4 linked regions of the Schizosaccharomyces pombe genome follow. Changing the gene in region 2 together with the main gene of any one other region gives a genetic interaction. Each region holds a gene or a part of one and is shown on either strand. Other genes may lie near its edges.

Region 1 (5,094 bases), on a different chromosome or scaffold from region 2:
TGAATAACTCGAAGTCTTTTGACTCAGTAGAAAACTGGAGGCAAGAATTTTTATATCAAACTTCACAAGATGAATGTGCATTCCCTTTCATTATCGTTGGAAATCAAATCGACAAAGACGCGTCTAAACGAGCCGTATCTCTTCATCGAGCTCTTGACTATTGCAAATCCAAACATGGATCAAATATGATTCATTTTGAAGCTAGTGCAAAAGAAAATACAAACGTTACTGACCTTTTCGAAACAGTCAGTCGTTTAGCTTTAGAAAATGAAAGCTCGAGAGATGACTTTGTTAATGACTTCTCTGAACCTTTGCTTCTTTCAAAGCCTTTGAATAATACATCTTCTTGTAATTGCTAGATATTCACACGCTCTCTCAGATTCTTTTACATTTCAAAATGTGCTATACGTTTTCTTTTCATAATATTTTTTTACATTGCTATTTTAACAAAACTATGGTTACTTTCTGTTCTTAATTCTTCTCTTTTCCCTCTATTGATACACGTTTTTTTTTAGGTGTAAATAGTCTTTTAATTATGACCTCAGTTAATAAACTTTTATGAATTATCTATATGCTGTATTCATATGCAAAAATATGTATATTTAAATTTGATCGATTAGGTAAATAAGAAGCTTAAAAGCCTTCTTCTCCCCATTCATCCTCCATCGGTGTACAATTTGTAATATTGTTGAGTGGAGCAGAAAAAATGTTGGTAGTGGGGGACGGTGATGATGGAATTGTCTTTACGGGTGATGCTCTTATGGGGGATATCTTCATAGGAGAAAAAGGAAGGTTCTGCGAGCTGTTTTCAATGTCCATCTCGGGTGTTTGTTCTTTCAGATTAGTTCTTTGCAATTTTTCCGACATAATATTTAAAGCGTGTTCATTAACTACACGCTGCTTTGGAGGACTTAATGGGACGTTCTTAGATGAAGCCTTTGAATACGTTTCATGAGGAGTTCGAGAGTAATTTGGGTGCGGTGACTTGGATTCAAAATGTGTATTGCGAGATACAGAATTTGGAAACTTGTTAAAAGGGGTATTGGAATTTCCAGAAACGGGTGAAGAAGACATATTGCTGTCACTACCATTTGCCCCTTGTCTTATCATGTTCGCGCTTCGAGACCGACTAGCACTGTTTAATCTAGCGTTTATATCAATTCGATTAGCAGTGGGGTGTCTTCTATTGGCGGTACTGGTTGCTGATGGCGGTTCTGCACTAATGGAACGACTTGGATTTTGAGTGTTTTTTACTCTAGGAAGCGGTGTCCTTGGACTCGTCATAGCTCGAGAAGCGGACCTAACACTTGGTGTTGAAGGTACAGCTACACGCCCTCGTTGAGAAGGTGTTCTATTAACAGAGTCCGTTGTAGTTGCTGTTTTCGGGCGGTTTGCGGCAGCACTTGCACTTCTATATAATGATTTTGGTTGAGTGGCCTCTTGGCAAATCTTGAGAAGTGGTTCATCATAAAAAAGGAACGTCCTTCCATTTCTTTCTTCCCATGCTGTAATCTCTGGTATAAGCAGCGACTGAACCTTAGGAAGTTCTCTAGAAAGTCGCTTACGGATTTTCTCTTCACGTAGAAGTAAACCTGGGTCCCGGCGTCCCCGTTGTGTTAGACGAGAGGCATCATTAGAACTAGCTTCAAGCTCTTTCTTTCCTTCTATTAAAGAGGCATAGCGATTAATTAAGCTTAAAAAGGACTTATTAGCAGAAACTTCGGCCTCTAGTTGCTTTATATAGTTTTCATGGGCCGTAAGAACCTGCTCTGTAATAATGTCTTCATACATAGGTGTAAAGGACTTTCTTTGTTCTTCTGAATAAAACAGAGAATCCCAAAGCTGAAGAATTTGTTGACGACAGTCTTCTAAAAAAATGGGTAAATGCTCCTTTTTTAACTGATGAAGTTTTTCAAGTTCAGTTTCCCATAATGAAATATTTTCTTGATTAATGTTTGATGAATCGCCAAATTGACTTTGTTCATTGGGAGAAACTTGAAGCTTATTCCACAAGTTGCTAACTTCTGATTGTATACTTTTTAAATGATCACTTCTCTTTTCTTTTTCAGCGGAAAAAACTTCTTTTTGCTTGCAAAGTTGGTCGATAAGTTCTTGAGTAACATAAACATCATTTGGTCGATTAGTATGGGATTCAAGCAATTGTTCGTATTGTGGAACATCAGCGGGCTCAACACCGAGTTCAGACCACAAACCCAAAATTTCTTCTTCAAAGGAATTAATAACCTCTAATCTCGCATCAATCTCCTTTTCGGCTTCGTTGATGCGTCCTCTCAAAGATTCAGTAAAAGCATCGGATACATCAGATAAAAATGAATTCTCAAAATCAGGTAAAACGAACGGACTTCCTAAGCGGTTACAATATGACTCCAATTTGTGATACATTTCTATACATCAGTTAAAACACAAGTCTAAATTAAAGACGATTACATACCTTTAATCGTACTTAACTTTTGATCATACTGTGCCATATATTGTCCTTCTACCATTGACAAACGATTCAAACACTGAATTAAAGGAGACTCAATTTTGAGACTAGAAGTATCATCCGTTAACTTTAATGAGGAAACCAAAAATCTGATTGAATCAATTCTTTGCTGACAGTCATCTTCAAGTTTTTTCTGGCACTGTTCCATTTCATGAAGCTGGGCATTCATTGCCGTTGTAAACAACTCAAATAATGATGAATTGTCTCCATCTGTTCCAAGGACTTGGTGAAGCCTTTCAATTTTAGAAAAATGCTTTTCCACTTGTTCACGAAACGCTTTCCAAGTAAAGTTAGATTCATTATTAGAGTGATTATCTTTTTCAGCAATAGAATCAGTGCTTTGAATGTCATCCATCATTACTGTTTGCATTGAACCGGTTGATGTAAATGAGCTCAATAAAACGATGTTTGAAATTCAATTAATAGAATATAAAGGAAGATATGAAAACTGTTAAGATGTTGATATATTATAACATAACAAGCAGTACAAGGAATTAACCTTGCATAAAAGCTTGGCACAAAAATGGTGGTTGGATATGGCTTGGCCTGCGAAAGTAACTCAGCATGCGCTTATATTCCAAAGAAAGCAAATAGATTTCAATGTCAGCACTGTATAAACGTTATTCAGCTCCTTTTAGTATAAACAAAATACTTAGAATTGTAAGTTGAAGAATATTTATGTGCCTGAAATATACCAATGTAAGGAAGCACATAAAGTTCTACAAACTGGTATCTTTTGCTCTACCTAAAATATGATACAAGAAAATTCAAATACTGCTTAAAAGGATACAAAGGCTTACTTTTTAAGTCTTATCGTAATCAATATAATTAGACTTATGCATACAAAATATCATCTAAGAGAGAAAAGCATTCATGATTTGTTCAATTCTTTTATTTGCTCATATTCAAAGACAGGATCTAGGACTATGGGAGAATTATTTTATGTAATATTAACCGCAATTGGGATTCAACCCAGTATCGCGAAACCCATTTCCTTTAAAAAAAAAATCATATACAACAAAAAGAAACAATTGTGAGTCGATTGTCCATAAAGACAGTAGGGATAAAAAAGTATTGGGTGAGAAAAAAATGAAAATAAATATAACCAGCTTGGAAGAATGCAAATGTATATAAGTCATGCGTTAAATTTTTACAATTCAACATGCAAAGGGCTAGTGGAGAAGGTAACGGCAGGCTTTGGGAGGTAAATTAACTGGGCTCGGCCAGCAGTGTTTGCTGATAGCTTTCCAGCTCGTCGCATTTGAGCTTCTAAAACAAATACTCGGAAAAAATTAGGATTTAATCGAGGACGTCTGATTTCAGGTTTCACACTTCGCTTTTCCCAGGGTTGAAGCGGGGTGTACAAAGTGAAATTGGCATCTGGCGCACAATCCTCCATCAACCAATCATCCTGAAAAAGCTTGAAATTTTGACAAAGCAAACCATTTGTCAGGTTGCTTTCGCCATGCGAAGATGAGAGATTTAAAATGGAGGCACTTGGATCCAAATGCACTTCTGGCTTGTGAAATACACGTCTGATGATATTACGAGATAGCGACATTATTTTATGCTGTAAAGAAGCTCGAGACTTATTTAAAGATGCTAAAGATGTTTTTTTGGACAACCTAGATGAGTAGAAATTAGATGATAAACTAGAGCCACTCCTATTGCAGGCGGTCAAGTTAGAGGAAGCATCCTTTGATTGTTCCAAAAAAGAGGATTGCTCCTCAAGACTTTTAGAAAGTGGATGGTTATGCTCTACGGGCTCCATAACTATGATATTGTTAGCAACGATGAATAAATAAAAGATAAGAGAAAAGGTTGAAAAATCTTAAAAGAACATACATTGACCTCTTAAACGAGGAACAGATTTGGATTTTTTTAAGTTGTTAATATTCAAGTAAATATCAAGGCTATTTGCGTTTACGAGGTTACAAGAGGAAGAGCTGGGAGTTGCAGGATTTGGCCCCGAATAGTAAGAGTAAGAAGCGACTGAAGACGTTTCCGAAGCAGAGTAGGAGGAGTATTCAGGGAATGAATTACACGAAAAATTCCACAAACAGTCGTAAGAATGAGAGTTGGTAGAAGCAGAACACTCGACAGGTGTAGAAAGAAGAAAGCAGTAATCACCTCTATTAACATCATCATTGTGTAATTTTTTGGACGAAGACAAAAAACGATCTAATTGTGATTTAAGAGTTTTTTTATTAGATAGAGTACTCAAGCGATGTGAAATTTTTCTATAACGATTGGGAACAGGGATCTTGGTTTCACTCAGCAACTGAAAAACGGCGTCTTGCTTTGATGCACAAGAATGGGTATCCTGAGACTGATAAATTAAATCCATCTCACTAGCTTGAGAGCTGCAAAGATTATGATCCCAACATTCGCATTGACAAGTTACCGGAGCTACTTCTGTGAGTGCTTTAGAGAAGCCAATTTCCAATGGTCTTAATTCCATCCGAGTCATCATAGAAAGAAATGTAAAAAGAAAGAAAATATAGCGCCTATATATAAAGCCAATTGATCAAATCCTACCGGTTTCTAATTGCAAAGCAGTTCATAAAGTGAATTAGAAGCTACAATGT
Region 2 (3,997 bases):
GTCATCTGCATGAGATAGTTCTTTTAACTTGCTGATCGAAAATTCTATGTCATTAACTTATTTATCACACCAATTTATATCTTACTATTTTTATTTAAACCCTTCACGAGACCGTTTTCTCTTAAAGAGCCTTTTCTCTGCATTTTCAAGTTGCTTGATTTGGGCATGTTGATTGTTTACGTTTCAGAAAAATATATGCCCGCCTTAAGATTTGCCTGTAAACAGAAGCACAATTTTCAAATAAACAATATAGAAAAAAGACAAATAATAAAAATAATTCTTTAAATTCTAAAACTGCTTGTTTTTTTTTAAGTTGATTATTACGATAATTAATTTTAAGAATTTCGTAAACAAACAGCTGTTTGTAGACTTATTTAGCGATAATCAGATAATGGCTCTTTTATTATCAATATGTTTTTTTTTACTTTTAATAGAGTTTTTCGGAATGTTCTCGTTTATATTTACTCAAACTCAAAATTCCATAATTTAAACATCCTTAACTAGTATCGATCAAGGAAGCGCTATTCTCTTTTCTCTTAATGCTCATACACATACAAACAGCTCTTTCTAAAAAATTGTATATTGATTATATCTCCTTTATCACCCAACAATCCAAATCATCCAAAAGTCCTATATCCAAAGTGTTTGTAACACTTAACTAAAAAAAAATTTCCTAACTCAAATACAAAATGATACCCTGATTTTTTTTGAAACCTAAGAAAAAGATAGGCGATAAAAAGAGTTAATAGAATACATAGTTTAATCCGCGATCTTCTTAAACACGGGAGTTAAAGTATGTTCATCTTCAACATGAAAATTTAGTGAACGCGAACAAGCTTGACTTCAAAAACTAAGGTAGAATTCTTGGGAATTCCTGGAATGCTCTGGTTGCCGTAAGCCATGGGAGCAGGAATTGTAATCTTACGCTCACCGCCTTCTTGCATTCCAGCAACGCCGACGTCCCACCCGCGAATAACCTCACCACGACCAAGGATAAAAGCAAAGGGTTTACCTTTAGTGTTTTTGTCAAAAACCTTTCCATTTTCGAGCTTCCCAATATATCTCATTTCAACTTTTTTCCCATTGGTAGCAGACGCACCGCTCCCAGTTTTAACATCAGTTACAACCACGCCTCCTTTTAAAGTACGAGTCTTGGGACTAGAAGGTGCATTAGAAGAAGCTTGTTGCTTTTCTTTCTTAGCAGCGGGACCAGTAGGTCCTTGTTCAAGTTTTTCGGCAAATGCAACCTTCTTTTCCTTAACAGGGGTACCCTCAACCTTTTGCTTCTTGGTATTGTTTTTCTTAGGAGAAGCAGCCTCTTCTTGCTCGGATTCATCCTTAGTACGTTTTTTTTTAACCTGTGCCTTTTTAGCAGGAGCTGAATCCAATTCATCCTCCTCAGATGCTGAATTATCTTCCGACTCAGATTCCTCTTCACTTTCCTCATCACCGCTGACAGTCTCGACAAGATCCTCCTCAGTAGGAGACAAATCGTAATCCTCGTCAGATTCTTCCTCTTCCTCATCTTCTTCGTCAACCAAAAAGTTACCAGACAAGTGGATGGTTGCATCGCCAGATGCACTGAAGAAGACTTCGTCGCCAGGAGTAATGGTCAAATTTAAAGGCTGTTGGTATAAGGAACCAGGCTTCAAAGTACATAAAACAAATTCACGCTGGCTTTCTTCCAGAAGCTCTTGCATTTGTTCGTCAAGTTCTTCGTCATCTTCATCTTCAACGGGGATACGGGGACGAACCTTCACCAATAAAGTAGTTGGTTTATTAGACTTTTCGCCGGCATCAATGGATGCCATAGTCAAATGAATAGATGCATCTGTAGATTCCTCCACAGCGGGAACATCTTTTCCCTTTACCGAAAGACTATAAACAGCAATTGGAAGAGACATGACTTATTCTTGCCTAAGAGGTGAGGTGGTAGAGGATGTAAAAAATTTTGATACATAAACCGTTGTGTATTCCATTAAGTAAGGGTAGTGCGTATTACCGCGATTTGCAAATTATACTCAAAATTAATTAAATTTGGACGAGCGTGCATCACAACAAACGCGTAGTAATTATTTTTGATATTTCGTTGTTTTTTACTTTGAAATAGTTTGGCTTCACGAGTTTTGGGATAAGGTTAAATAATGAAAGAAAAAAGCTCTTGCAGTTAGTTTTTCTTTATAAACATTGTTTGTTTATTAATTACACTTTTTCCGCTTAAGTGGCTACATTATTATTTGTATTATTTTCCTTTCAGAAACATATTAATACTTATATTTACTGAAAGTGAGAAGCGCGCTGGATGGCTTTTAATCAAAGGAAGCGTCGACGCCCAGTAGGGATTGCAGACTTTGACGAAGCAAACGATGAGGCATACGAAAGTGTTGGGTTCCACGACTATGCAGATTATTTTTCCCGGAAACAAAGAAAGCTTCAAAATCAAAATGCCGCTCTATACAAAAGTATTGATGAAGATTCTAAATCTGATCTCTTTCATGGACTTGCAATAGCGATTAATGGATATACAAAGCCGTCTTATACCGAATTACGGCAAATGATAGTTTCAAATGGAGGTACTTTTATACAATATGTTGATGGAAAAACAAGCATATCATATTTGGTGTGTTCATTTCTCACTCCTTCCAAAGCTCGCCAATGGAAGCATCAGAAAGTGGTTAAACCAGAATGGATAGTGGATTGCATCAAACAGAAGAAAATTCTTCCGTGGATAAATTATCGTACCTTTCAAGCTTCATCGGCTCAAGCTACCCTTTCTTTTGTCGCCTCTAAACCTAGCCAACCCGAAGGTAACTTAGAAGATATTCAAACAAGCTCGCAGGAAGAAGAACATGATAATGAAAAAGATAAAACAAAAGAGAGTAAAGCAAAGGGATTTTTAGATGATTTGAGTGGATTATCAGCGTCTTCACTGCACAACTATCAATTGTTAAAAAATCCCAATGTCCGAAATTCAACCACTCAAAATCAAGATTTTCTTGAGAATTTCTTTAGCTCCTCTCGTTTACATCACTTAAGTACTTGGAAAGCTGATTTTAAAAATGAAATCCAAGCAATGACTACTGCTTCTGAACCTGTTCGTCCAATTATGAAAGATAAATCAAAAAAATCTCGTTTCCTTCTTCATGTTGATTTTGATTGCTTTTTTGCTTCCGTTTCAACACGCTTTTCTCATGAGCTACGACTGAAGCCCGTTGCTGTTGCTCATGGTATAAAAAATTCCGAAATAGCTAGTTGTAATTATGAGGCTCGGAAGTTTGGCATAAAAAATGGTATGTACGTTGGAACAGCTAAAAACCTGTGTCCTTCATTACGGGTTGTTGATTATGATTTTGGAGCATACGAATCTGTTTCTAGAGAATTTTACACTATCCTTGTTAATACACTTCACGACTATATTAAGGTTATAAGTATAGACGAGGCTCTTCTAGATATAACTTCTAGTGTTTCATCTTTTCAAGATTGCTTTGAGATTGCCGAGTCTATCCGCTCGCAGGTTCGCGAGAAAACCAATTGCGAAGTTAGCGTTGGTATTGGCCCAAATGTTCTCTTAGCAAGACTTGCACTTAGGAAGGCGAAGCCTCACAACGTTTATTCTTTGTCAATAGAAAATGTTTTTGATGTATTGAGTCCTTTGTCTGTTCAAGATTTACCAGGGGTGGGCTCTTCACAAGCGCAGAAACTTTTTAATTTGTACGGTGTGCGTACTATTGGGCAGCTGCAAAGAATTGAAAAATTCAATCTTCAAGAGACTTTTGGGGTAAATTACGGTCTGCATTTATACAATATTTCCAGAGGAATTGATACCGATATAATCAATAATGAAACCCCACGGAGGTCCATATCCGTAGATGTTAATTGGGGTGTTCGTTTCGTTTTTCAAGAGGATGGGATAGATTTCTTAAAACGGTTGCTTCATGAGTTGCTTTCCAGAATGGGTAAATGCCAAGTGCTTTTGCATCAAATTCAGCTTCGGATT
Region 3 (5,933 bases), on a different chromosome or scaffold from region 2:
CGCTGCCACGATCCGACTTCCAATTTCTTCGTCTTTCATACTCATTTCTAGCCCTAATTTCGGATCTACCTCCTTTTGCAATATAGTGTGAACGGTTTGAACATCTTTCTTCTGAATATACAATTCGATATCATACACATGAATACTTAGAAAAGAAACATATCGCGGTCCTGAACCTAACAAAAATAGTTCATCCTCATTATTAATTCTTTTTTGAACTAATCCTTCGTATGTTTGTTGAATTGTCTTGGTGACACTCTCACAGTATAGAGGGCGAGTTTGATACATGGCATTTATTGTTGCTACTGAGCTCCAAAAGACCAATCCTGGTCGTTTCGATAACCAATTCTTGCAAAATTGATAAGCAAAAAAACGAGTACCAAACATGTTGTTTAGTTTAAATACACACACACAGATATTAGCCGGTTGGTATTGGATCACATGTTTTTCCAAGAGATCCTAGATTTTAAGGAGGTGCGCAAAAACAACTAACAATGTTGAAACATACGGTTATTATATAGTGAAAAAATTAATTAATTAATTAATCGTCTAATTTCTAAAGAGTAGACTGTTATTTTCTAGTATAAGTCTTTGAGTTTAATTTTAAGTATTCCTATCCATTCGTAATAAGAAAAAATGTCAGTCTATATATCCCATTGTCCGCCGTATCCCAAAATAAATAAAACGACTATTTTAAACCAATAGCTCTCATAAAAGTCTCTTTGAACTCATCATAGTCAACAATGTCAAGGCCATTAACTGGCGTCAATTCATTTTTAAGCTCGTGAATCAATACGAACCTTCTATATTTATCATAATTTTTTTTCTGGTACAATTGTAGAGTGCTGGCTAAAGATACATCAGCGCTATCATCGATCACAATATCCCAATCCTGATACAAAGTCACGTTCTTCAGCGCTGGGTTGGTCAGGTAGCGCTGGAGTGTATTCAATAAGTTTTGAATTTCCAAGAGACTTTTGTCTGGATTGTTTGTTACAAAATAGCTCTTGACCATATCCACAATTGATGGGGGTAGAATTAAAATCCATGAATCTTTTTTAATCTCAAGAAATGGACTAATGAGTTCCAAAAGCCGTGGTGTTTTTATAAGTGCTGAGAGTGTAACAGATACCACCCCACCCTTAGGAAACATCGGTCTTAAGTACTGTGAATATGTCAACTTATCAAGGGGTTCATTGTTTTTCTTAAAGTCCGTACCCACGTGTGAATCATTAGGACTTTTGAGAGGGAGTGACAAACCAAATAAGAAAAATTTACAACTTTTCCTTTTCGCCAGTGTTAAAAATTGCAGTTGATCAAAATCATCCTCTAGTGAGACATTCAGGAAAACAAAAACATTCTGTGATAAAAACAAAGATTCCGGAATCTCGAGTCCTCGAAATGTCGGAATAGCAGCTTCTCTAAAAGTATCCTCCAATTCTTCTGCCTCCGGAGAAGGCTGTTTAGAGACAATTAAAATTTGTGTAGCTTGAAAAGCGCCTATTTTATGTAAATCGATGTGGCCTAATTGTAGTAAATAAGACAAGTAAGATTGGGATTTATGATATGGCTTTTTAGGCCTTAGATTTTTTGCCGACCATTCGACTAGGATTGATTCTAAAGGTTCAAAAATCACCATCCAAAAAGGGCTATTGCTTTGGCCTTGACAATCGTATAAATTCATTAAAGCATTATTATCCTCTGTAAATAATAATAATGTATAGTTACTACCCAGAACGATGCCAGCACCGTTGCCGCGGTTTAGTATATTTTTAAAGTGAGTCATATCAACATCGCTTCGAATACAAAGACTTCCGGAAAGAACTTTAGTCAAGCAAGTACCAAATACCTCGAGATATTGTGAAGTAACAAAACGTAAAACATCTACTTGCTTGCAACTGACTAAACTTCGTAACAACTGTTGATGTTCAGTTTCCGCCTTAAGCTTGGATATATCAAATGACAATTCTCCAGCATAGTAGAGAGATTTTCCGACTCGCAAAACGAATCTAAAATAATCAGACAATGTGCTTGCTGAAGAAAGATCTTCGGATTCGCTTATCGAATGGTGAAGAGAGTTATCCGAATTTAAAGTAATATTACCAGCCGGAACTACTTTGCTAGCTCCATCATTTTCAAAAGTTTGATCGCTTTTAGAAACACTGTTCCAGTCGTTATTAACAGTAGTCCAACTACTTCCGATAACACTTTTCTTAAGCTGCTTAGCATCTTCATTCGTCACGTTTACGTTGAAATCGAAATTTTCGTCCAGATCGACATTGCTAGCAAATTTTTCCGACTCAGAAAGGGTATCTGTTGTTGTTTGTGTAAAAGAAACGGACCTTGCATTTGCTTTCTTTGAAGGGGTTGTTTTTAAAATAGACTTTGAGACTTTACATTCTTCCATATCAGTTGATATCTTCCCTTTTACTAAAGTTACATGCCAACTTGGATGCCCTTTATCATACGCAAGTTTGGCTTGTTCGATAGAATCGAATTGAATGTAGGCCATATTACAAACTTTGTCTTTCTTTGGTGATTTGAGAAAAAAGACCTCAATATTTCCTTTGATAAAAGCAAAGTACGATAAAATATCTTGCTTCGTTAAAGAACCAGAATTATCACTAACTAATATCGTATGCGTTTCTAATTTCGGTGCTTCCTTTTTTATCTTCAAAGAGGAAGGAAGAGGAGTCGAATTGCTAAAAAATAATGAATTGGCAACATCATTATCGGAAGTTATTACTGGCGACAGACTTAAAGGGCTTGAATGCCTAAAGGTTGACAAGGGGGTGTTAGATTGTGGTGAATTCGCATTTTCAACAAAAGCGCCAGTATTTTCAAGATTGTTCGAATTTTGAATTCCGGGAACTGAGTTGTCAGAGTCACTGGGCATCAACATTGTGCTTTTAATTTCGCCATTTTTCAAAGGTATTGCATCGCTGGAGAGGCTTTTGGACAATAAAATACTGTCGGTAACTGTAGGCCACTCTGATAAGTAGAAAGGATTAACATCAGGGCTAGTTTCACCAAACGATGTGGATAGCGTGCTAGTTTTATCGGTCAAATTCCTCTCCTTCAATTCCCCTTGCATACTTTTTCTCTCAAACGCATCCTCATCCATTGTCTGATCGTCCTCTTCCTCTTCATCATTTGCGATGGTTACAATCCTTCGGGCAGGCTTCTTACGCATCTTTTTGAATTTTTCTTTGACTTTTTGAGATAATTGGGTAAGCTCGGATTTGCGCTTTTGTCTTTGTTGCCTCAATATCTCCTTTTCTCTCTTCATTTTCTTTGCCTCATTATCTTCCGCATCGAAAGGTTCAAGCAAGCCTTTAGCAATTAACTTTTTCCGTTTTTTCCATTTTTTAAGCACTTTTTCCGCACCGAATAAATTTTGTTCAGGTTCCCAAGTATTATCATACCAATCATAGCCAGCCCATTTTATATAATATTCGTTTATGCCATTTTTATTTACGCGGTCAGCAAGGATATCTTCCACCTCATAAACATCCGCGTCTGTCTCACCTTCATTCGAGTCAATATCAGGAAGTGGTTTAACAGATACCATTTCAAGGTAGCGGGTTTTTTGCTCACCTACGTGTCGCTAAGAGAGATTGAAGTATTACAACAAAAAAATATATAAAAGGATAAAGATATGAATTTAAAAAAAAAACGGAATTAAGCAAGATTGAATAGATTCCTTGACAAAACTATTAGCCAAAGTTCTTCCCTTTCAACTACTTTTATAGTTGCATGAAGGGCAGAGTATAACCTCTAAAATGGCTCAAATATTTCCCTTTTGCTTGTGATTTTTTTACCAATGGAACACAAGAATAACAACAGATAATTCCAGTAATGAAGCTTTTAGATGTTAGAATTTCGAAGTCTCGCTGCAATAAGCAAGATGGCTTATGCACTCGAATTTTGGAATCAAACAAAATCCGCGTGATTTTACCGTCGTGTCACCAACGCAAACCGTTAAATATACAAAAAAATAAGTTTTCGATTGGGTTTGGAGTTTTATTGCATTAATCAAGTGTGTGAGGTTGAGGTTGCAGATTTGAAGACACCTATGGAGACATATGTACTTTGAGAAAATACTCACTAACCACTAGTGTTACTAGTTGCATACATGAGGTACTAGTAGTCAAAAAACTTTGTTGGTAAATTGATAAATGTTTAAAATTTTCTCATTCCTCCTGAACTTCTAATTTTATTTTCTGGGTGGTTGTGTAAGTTAGAAAAACTTTAAACAAATAATGAATTTTGTTTTCAAAAAGCTACAATGAGTAGATTTTGAGCGCTGCAATTTATTAAACGATGCGTTTATACATAATACCTCTAAATGTGTTAACTCTATATAAACGAATTCAACACAACATATCATTCCAAAACTGGTAGTACAATAAGAAAAGTAAATAATTACTACGATAGAAAAAAATGATCGTGCCAAGACTCGAACTTGGGACCGTCTGCGAACTAGCATGTTAAGCAGAAATTATAACCATCTAAACCACACGACCTCTTTTGATAATTGCTTGCATTAATTTTATATAGAGGTTAACCAAGGGATCCATTTACTTATATTATTACGGAACTATGTTATTCGTTTTCCATGAAATGAACTTAATAAGAAAAACTGTTTATGTGCAGGATTTTTTTGTTTCTTGTTAACCCAAGATTTGCCAACGATAATTATTCGATGGATTACTCAAGTAACTTTCTGCATGAAGGATGCCTGCATGCCATGAGCAGCATCCAACATTGTATAACTTTTGCATAAAGAAAAAGATTTCAATTGAGCCGCCAATTTTATTCTTTCAAATTTTTAATTTCGATCATTGTGACCATTATAAAAGTGAGAAAAAGCTGCTGAAAAAACCGGAACTTAAAATATTCTTTCTTTGGCTAGATAACTTTGTAACTTGGAAATCAAAACATTGCTTTCAAAGAATTTCTACATCATTGTTTGATGCAGGACTAAAATGGGTATAGTACTGACTAATCGCACTGTAAAAACCCATACCAACCCGTCCATATCCAGTTTTGCGATTGGGTTCAATCGGTCATTCATATAATTGATAGTACTTGCATTCAATTGAGTACTTGCGCTTCTTTATATCAAAGGCATTTTAAAATGTTTACAAAATAGCGCTTTATAGTGAACAACAGCATAATGATTTTGATGATAGCAATCACTAAACGACACCAGCCTTCTCATGATTACGACATTCTTTGTAACGCAGTATAATTATTTAATGAATCATTGGAATGCGTTATATGCATTTTAACGGCCAGTGGCACTAGTGGACTTTTTTTTGTTACCATGATAAAGGATTATTACTTCCTTAGGTTTTCTGATATCCCTCTGCAACTTACCTACAACAAACTACGACTAAGTAAATTCTTCGACTATCGAAAGCAGGGTTCATTGTAATTTACAGGTATATACCTTGATATTATTTGACCTTAAATATTTGTTAACAAAAATTGTTCGTAGATTTACCGATAGAGAACTTAGCCATGTGTCAAGAGGACGAATACGATTATTTGTTCAAGACTGTGCTGATTGGGGATAGTGGTGTTGGAAAGTCAAACCTACTTATGCGTTTCACTAGGAATGAATTTAATATCGAAAGCAAGAGTACTATTGGTGTTGAATTTGCTACTAGAAATATTGTTCTTGACAACAAAAAAATTAAAGCACAGATCTGGGATACTGCCGGTCAGGAACGTTATCGGGCCATTACCTCAGCTTATTACCGTGGTGCTGTTGGTGCTCTGATTGTTTACGATATCACAAAACAATCTTCATTCGATAATGTGGGCCGCTGGTTAAAGGAGCTTCGTGAGCATGCAGACAGCAACATCGTTATCATGCTTGTTGGTAATAAAACGGATTTACTACATTTAAGAGCTGTATCTACTGA
Region 4 (4,036 bases), on a different chromosome or scaffold from region 2:
CTTCATATTTCTCGGGATAAAAAGCTAACTACTATCTCGAAAGATGCTCGTTCAGCTGTTATGGCTTTTCTAGAAATGGACATTAAGAAGAGGTTGGGTCACTCCAGCAAGAAACTTCAAACACATCCATTTTTTTGCTCTATCTCTTTGGAGACCGTTTCCAAGGGCAACCTGACTCCTATTTTCCGTCCGAAATCTGGAAAAGTATATGTTGACCCAATTTTAGATTTGGAGGCTACTTTTTAAACTAATGATTCAATGTTTACAAAACTAATTAATATATATGATTATTCAAAGATTCTCTCAGCTACGATTTGTCTTTCGGTTCATGTGTTACATAGTATTGCTATTTTTTTACTATTTTTTTTTGCTTGCCTGATAGTCTCGTCTCTTATTTTCCCTGGAAAAATTTTGACTGCGTTTCCACTTAAACTATTTCAAACTTCATTATTTATAACTTTGAATTTCTGAACTATTCTAATCGAGCGATACGAAATTACACGAATTAATTAATATGACATTTATATCACCAAACACCTGTTATCCGTAGTTTTCTGCAAGTAATAATCCAAACAAAGGGAATTCTTTAATAAAATGTACACTAAACTCCTAACAGACATTAAACTTTTGTTTTTTATATCCACGCATATAAATGTTATATCAGCATCCATAATACACTTTTTCGATATCCAATCTACCGACTACGGGTTCAGCAACACTTTCTAGAAATGCTGTAACAATGGTAACCTTTGGGAAAATATAAGCCAGCGCTTTAATACTTTCAGAGTAACAAACATAGACCACAATTATAATGTTTTCCTCTGGGACCCCGAAATCCACTAAAATTTGCGTGGCCATTAAGACATCTGCATGTGTAGTTAAATGTGAAGCCATCAAAACAACATTCATGGTAGCAATGCCACGGGGCAATTTATGGTAATGTAAAGTTGGTTCTTGAGTAACTTTATTGATTTGCACCAAAATCTTACCCAAACACACTGTTGGAAATTGACGACATAAAGCTGTTTCAAGAGTTCCGCCGGATCGCAAAACTGAAACACCACAAAGCTCTTTTGCCATTTGTAGACCTTCCCACTGGTTTCCGTTATGCAAAGTAATCGTTTTCTTTTCATATGCAAGCGAATCACCTGCCAAATTCATCAACATGGTGCCAATTCTGCTCAAAAAAAATTGTAAATCATCAGGGTGTGTATTTTTGTTTATAAGAATAGTCCTGATGGCAGATATTTCAGGCGTAATTTTAAGCTGAACTAAATTTAAGGGTAAATGGGGAATGGTTGGTACAATTTGCTGTAAACTATCAATGTTCTTAACATGAGTTTCACTTTGTATAGAAAGTGTTCTACGAATAAAATTAATCACCATATCAATTGCCAATTTATTGTCCCGGCCACGAGGAACGATAAGATCAGTGTAAGATAGTTGACGCCTAACGAAGTTCTCATAACTTGGCTTGACAAATTTATTATATTGTTCCAAAACGCCAACTATGTCCCTTCCTCGATAGTTGATATCGCGATTCAGTCGACGAGAGAGACACACGTCCGAATCTGTATCTAGAAAGACCGAGACGTCAAGGAGAGAGCGAATCTTTTCATCGTATAAAGCAAAAATCCCTTCGAGAATAATGATACTTGCTCCGAATAACGTGTTGGTCTCAGGAAGCCGATTATGCTCATTGAAGCTATATATAGGAATGTCAACTTTACGGCCTTGTTTAAGTTCTAGCAGTTTTACGAAGAGCAAGTCCCAATCAATGGCTTCGGGGGAATCAAAGTCATAGTCGTTGTTAAATGCTCTCTTCTTCTGCTCTGCATTCAAAGATTTGTAAAACGAGTCAAGGGATAAAATAACAACATGTGGAAGATTTAACGCCTTTACAATCAATTGGGCCACCGAGGTTTTCCCACTACCCGATGGTCCTGCAATTCCAATAAATCGCACTTTACGCCATGGGGGTTCATAAGTTGGGTTGCTTGAATAACGCTCAAAAGCTTCAGGCATAATAACGAAAGAAATAAAATAAATAAGAAGCCCAAAAAAAAGGTATGCTAGCCTCCAAGGAAATATTACTAAAGAAAGTTTAAAAAAAAAAAAACTGTAGAGCAAAAAAAGACTAATTGGTGAACCTAACGTTTTTTAAAAGGTAAATTCTGTCTTGGCGTGAAACGAAAATATTCCACAATTTGTAGAGCCAAAGATATTTATTCAAACAGAATTAATTCAAGTAGAATGATAATGGTTTCCTTATCTTACTCTTCTCAAACTTGCTTAGTTTTTTCTATAAATCACAAATCTCGAGTTAGCAATACCATTAGAAAAATATATATATGTATACGAACCCAAAGGAAGGAAAAATGTTAGGAAATTTTAACATAAATAGAAAGATTTTCGAAATGTCTTTTTAAATAACTAGTAAACTAGTTGAAACAATAAATTGGAGAAGGGTAAATCCAATATCATTGTTTTTTCATCCTTTGGTAACATTATCACTGTGACTTTTTCAGTCAGCGCCTGAGCCGCGGTAATCATCGGGAATAAAGAAAGAGCAGTTTGTTTGTAGAACGGAAGTGAGAAGTTTTTTTGCAATACCTATTACTAAATTAATGAATTATATGTAGATTTAAAAGAAATCCGGCAATTAATATTCGAAATTAATCAATTTTGACTATGTGAAAATTGTAACATTCGTGACATGTTGGAAGCTTGTACCAAAATTTGATATTTAATTTAACTTTAAAAATGTATTTAATAAAAATAGGCGACAATAAGGAAATTTAACATATTGGCTCAAATTCAAAAACGCAAGAGAAATCTTGCTTTGTTTATATAAATAACTAAATCAACACGACTAATACTTAATACGCATTTCTTAGAAAAACAGATTCAAATTATTTTTTACCTTCCAAAAATGATGAAATAAAAAGAACAGCTAGGTTGAGATCGTCTCAAAGTTCAATAAATGATTTTGCCGCTCGAAGATTTAGATTGTAGCTTTGCCATTTTTTTTAAACCTAAGAGAACTGACAAAAAGGAATATGAAAGTTTCTTTTGTGCAGAAGAACCAAGTAAATGGACATAAGTTTATGGCAGGTTTTATGATATTGAGAACTCGTCGCTTTTGTTCGTAATAGGCAATTAATTTCAAATTAGAAAATAGTATAAAGGATATTCAGTTTGACCCATCAAGTAGAGTAATCCGCTATTAATGGTGTGAAAAAGTAGAAAAATTTGAAAAAAGCGTACATTTTCGAATAGAAACCCATTTACATGCTTACTTAGCACACGCAAAATCCTTAAATTTCTCTTCCCTATATCGAGAGAAGTGAAAATATAGAATAGTGAATGCATCAAACGCAAAGATTTGAAGCCGGTGCAATGTTAAACATATTTGACGGCTAATCGTCACAAAAAAATGACATTGATGACCTCGAATTGCGCAAATTTTGACTTCATATTTAAAACTCGAAACTCATGAATATTAAGCCTAGATAATTTGTTCGCATAATTTCTTCTCAATCCCACAAATTAATTATCCATGTATCGATAGCAATGGAATCAATTGATTTATTAAATTAAAGTAGATATCTTCCCCTCCTCATTTGATTAGAAAAAAATCCTTGAATTTCACATCACATTTACTCGAAAAGTTTTATCATAAACTTGCTGTAGAATTGAAACTGTAACTGCAATTTAAACCAAATAAAACGCTTTTTAAAATAAACAAAAGAGTACCACATGACTAAATTCCTCATCTTCCTTTTACCAACGTTTGTTGTAATATATTACCCATGCCTTTAGTAATGATAAATTGCACTTATTGAGCTAGAAAATAGTGAATTGAAATAAATCTAATATTTTAACAAACGATATCACGCTATAGCCGTTTTATAATATTTGCCATCTTTTGTTCGTTTCACATTGACACACCTCCATCCTCTCTTTCCTTTCACCTATCTTGGCGAACGAATTCTTAACCTGCTAATTTATTCACTTCAGGAGTAGGAATTGACAA

What was found.
Region 1: mutations in ani1 (region 2) and ase1 together harm fitness more than expected from each alone (negative genetic interaction), as found in Schizosaccharomyces pombe (2 studies listed by BioGRID).
Region 3: mutations in ani1 (region 2) and chp1 together harm fitness more than expected from each alone (negative genetic interaction), as found in Schizosaccharomyces pombe (2 studies listed by BioGRID).
Region 4: mutations in ani1 (region 2) and urk1 together harm fitness less than expected from each alone (positive genetic interaction), as found in Schizosaccharomyces pombe (2 studies listed by BioGRID).

The regions. Positions count from the first base shown.
Region 1 is NC_003424.3:1,876,144-1,881,237, reverse strand, and holds ase1 (antiparallel microtubule cross-linking factor Ase1), read right to left. Parts: upstream 3,050-5,094; 5' UTR 2,877-3,049; coding exon 2,453-2,876; exon of another isoform or gene 2,406-2,452; coding exon 634-2,405; 3' UTR 512-633; downstream 1-511. Other genes in the region: GTPase Ypt71, read left to right, coding at 1-359; SPOM_SPAPB1A10.08 (uncharacterized protein), read right to left, coding at 3,657-4,279, 4,352-4,979. UniProt on the Schizosaccharomyces pombe protein: Required for anaphase spindle elongation and microtubule bundling in both interphase and mitosis. Has a role in spatial and temporal regulation of septation and cytokinesis and ensures equal partition of segregating sister chromatids.
Region 2 is NC_003423.3:4,062,464-4,066,460, reverse strand, and holds ani1 (FKBP-type peptidyl-prolyl cis-trans isomerase), read right to left. Parts: upstream 1,942-3,997; 5' UTR 1,905-1,941; coding exon 819-1,904; 3' UTR 501-818; downstream 1-500. Other genes in the region: sporulation specific PIL domain protein Meu14, read right to left, coding at 1-44, 86-167; deoxycytidyl transferase Rev1, read left to right, coding at 2,303-3,997. UniProt on the Schizosaccharomyces pombe protein: PPIase that acts as a histone chaperone. Histone proline isomerase that increases the rate of cis-trans isomerization at prolines on the histone H3 N-terminal tail. Proline isomerization influences H3 methylation thereby regulating gene expression.
Region 3 is NC_003424.3:2,210,289-2,216,221, forward strand, and holds chp1 (heterochromatin (HP1) family chromodomain protein Chp1), read right to left. Parts: upstream 4,058-5,933; 5' UTR 3,572-4,057; coding exon 689-3,571; 3' UTR 522-688; downstream 1-521. Other genes in the region: aim18 (chalcone related protein), read right to left, coding at 1-387; Rab11 family GTPase Ypt3, read left to right, coding at 5,527-5,933. UniProt on the Schizosaccharomyces pombe protein: Component of the kinetochore which plays a role in stabilizing microtubules and so allowing accurate chromosome segregation. Has a role in the RNA interference (RNAi) pathway which is important for heterochromatin formation and accurate chromosome segregation.
Region 4 is NC_003421.2:1,554,434-1,558,469, reverse strand, and holds urk1 (uridine kinase/uracil phosphoribosyltransferase), read right to left. Parts: upstream 2,472-4,036; 5' UTR 2,364-2,471; intron 2,303-2,363; 5' UTR 2,026-2,302; coding exon 661-2,025; 3' UTR 557-660; downstream 1-556. Other genes in the region: serine/threonine protein kinase Ppk33, read left to right, coding at 1-246.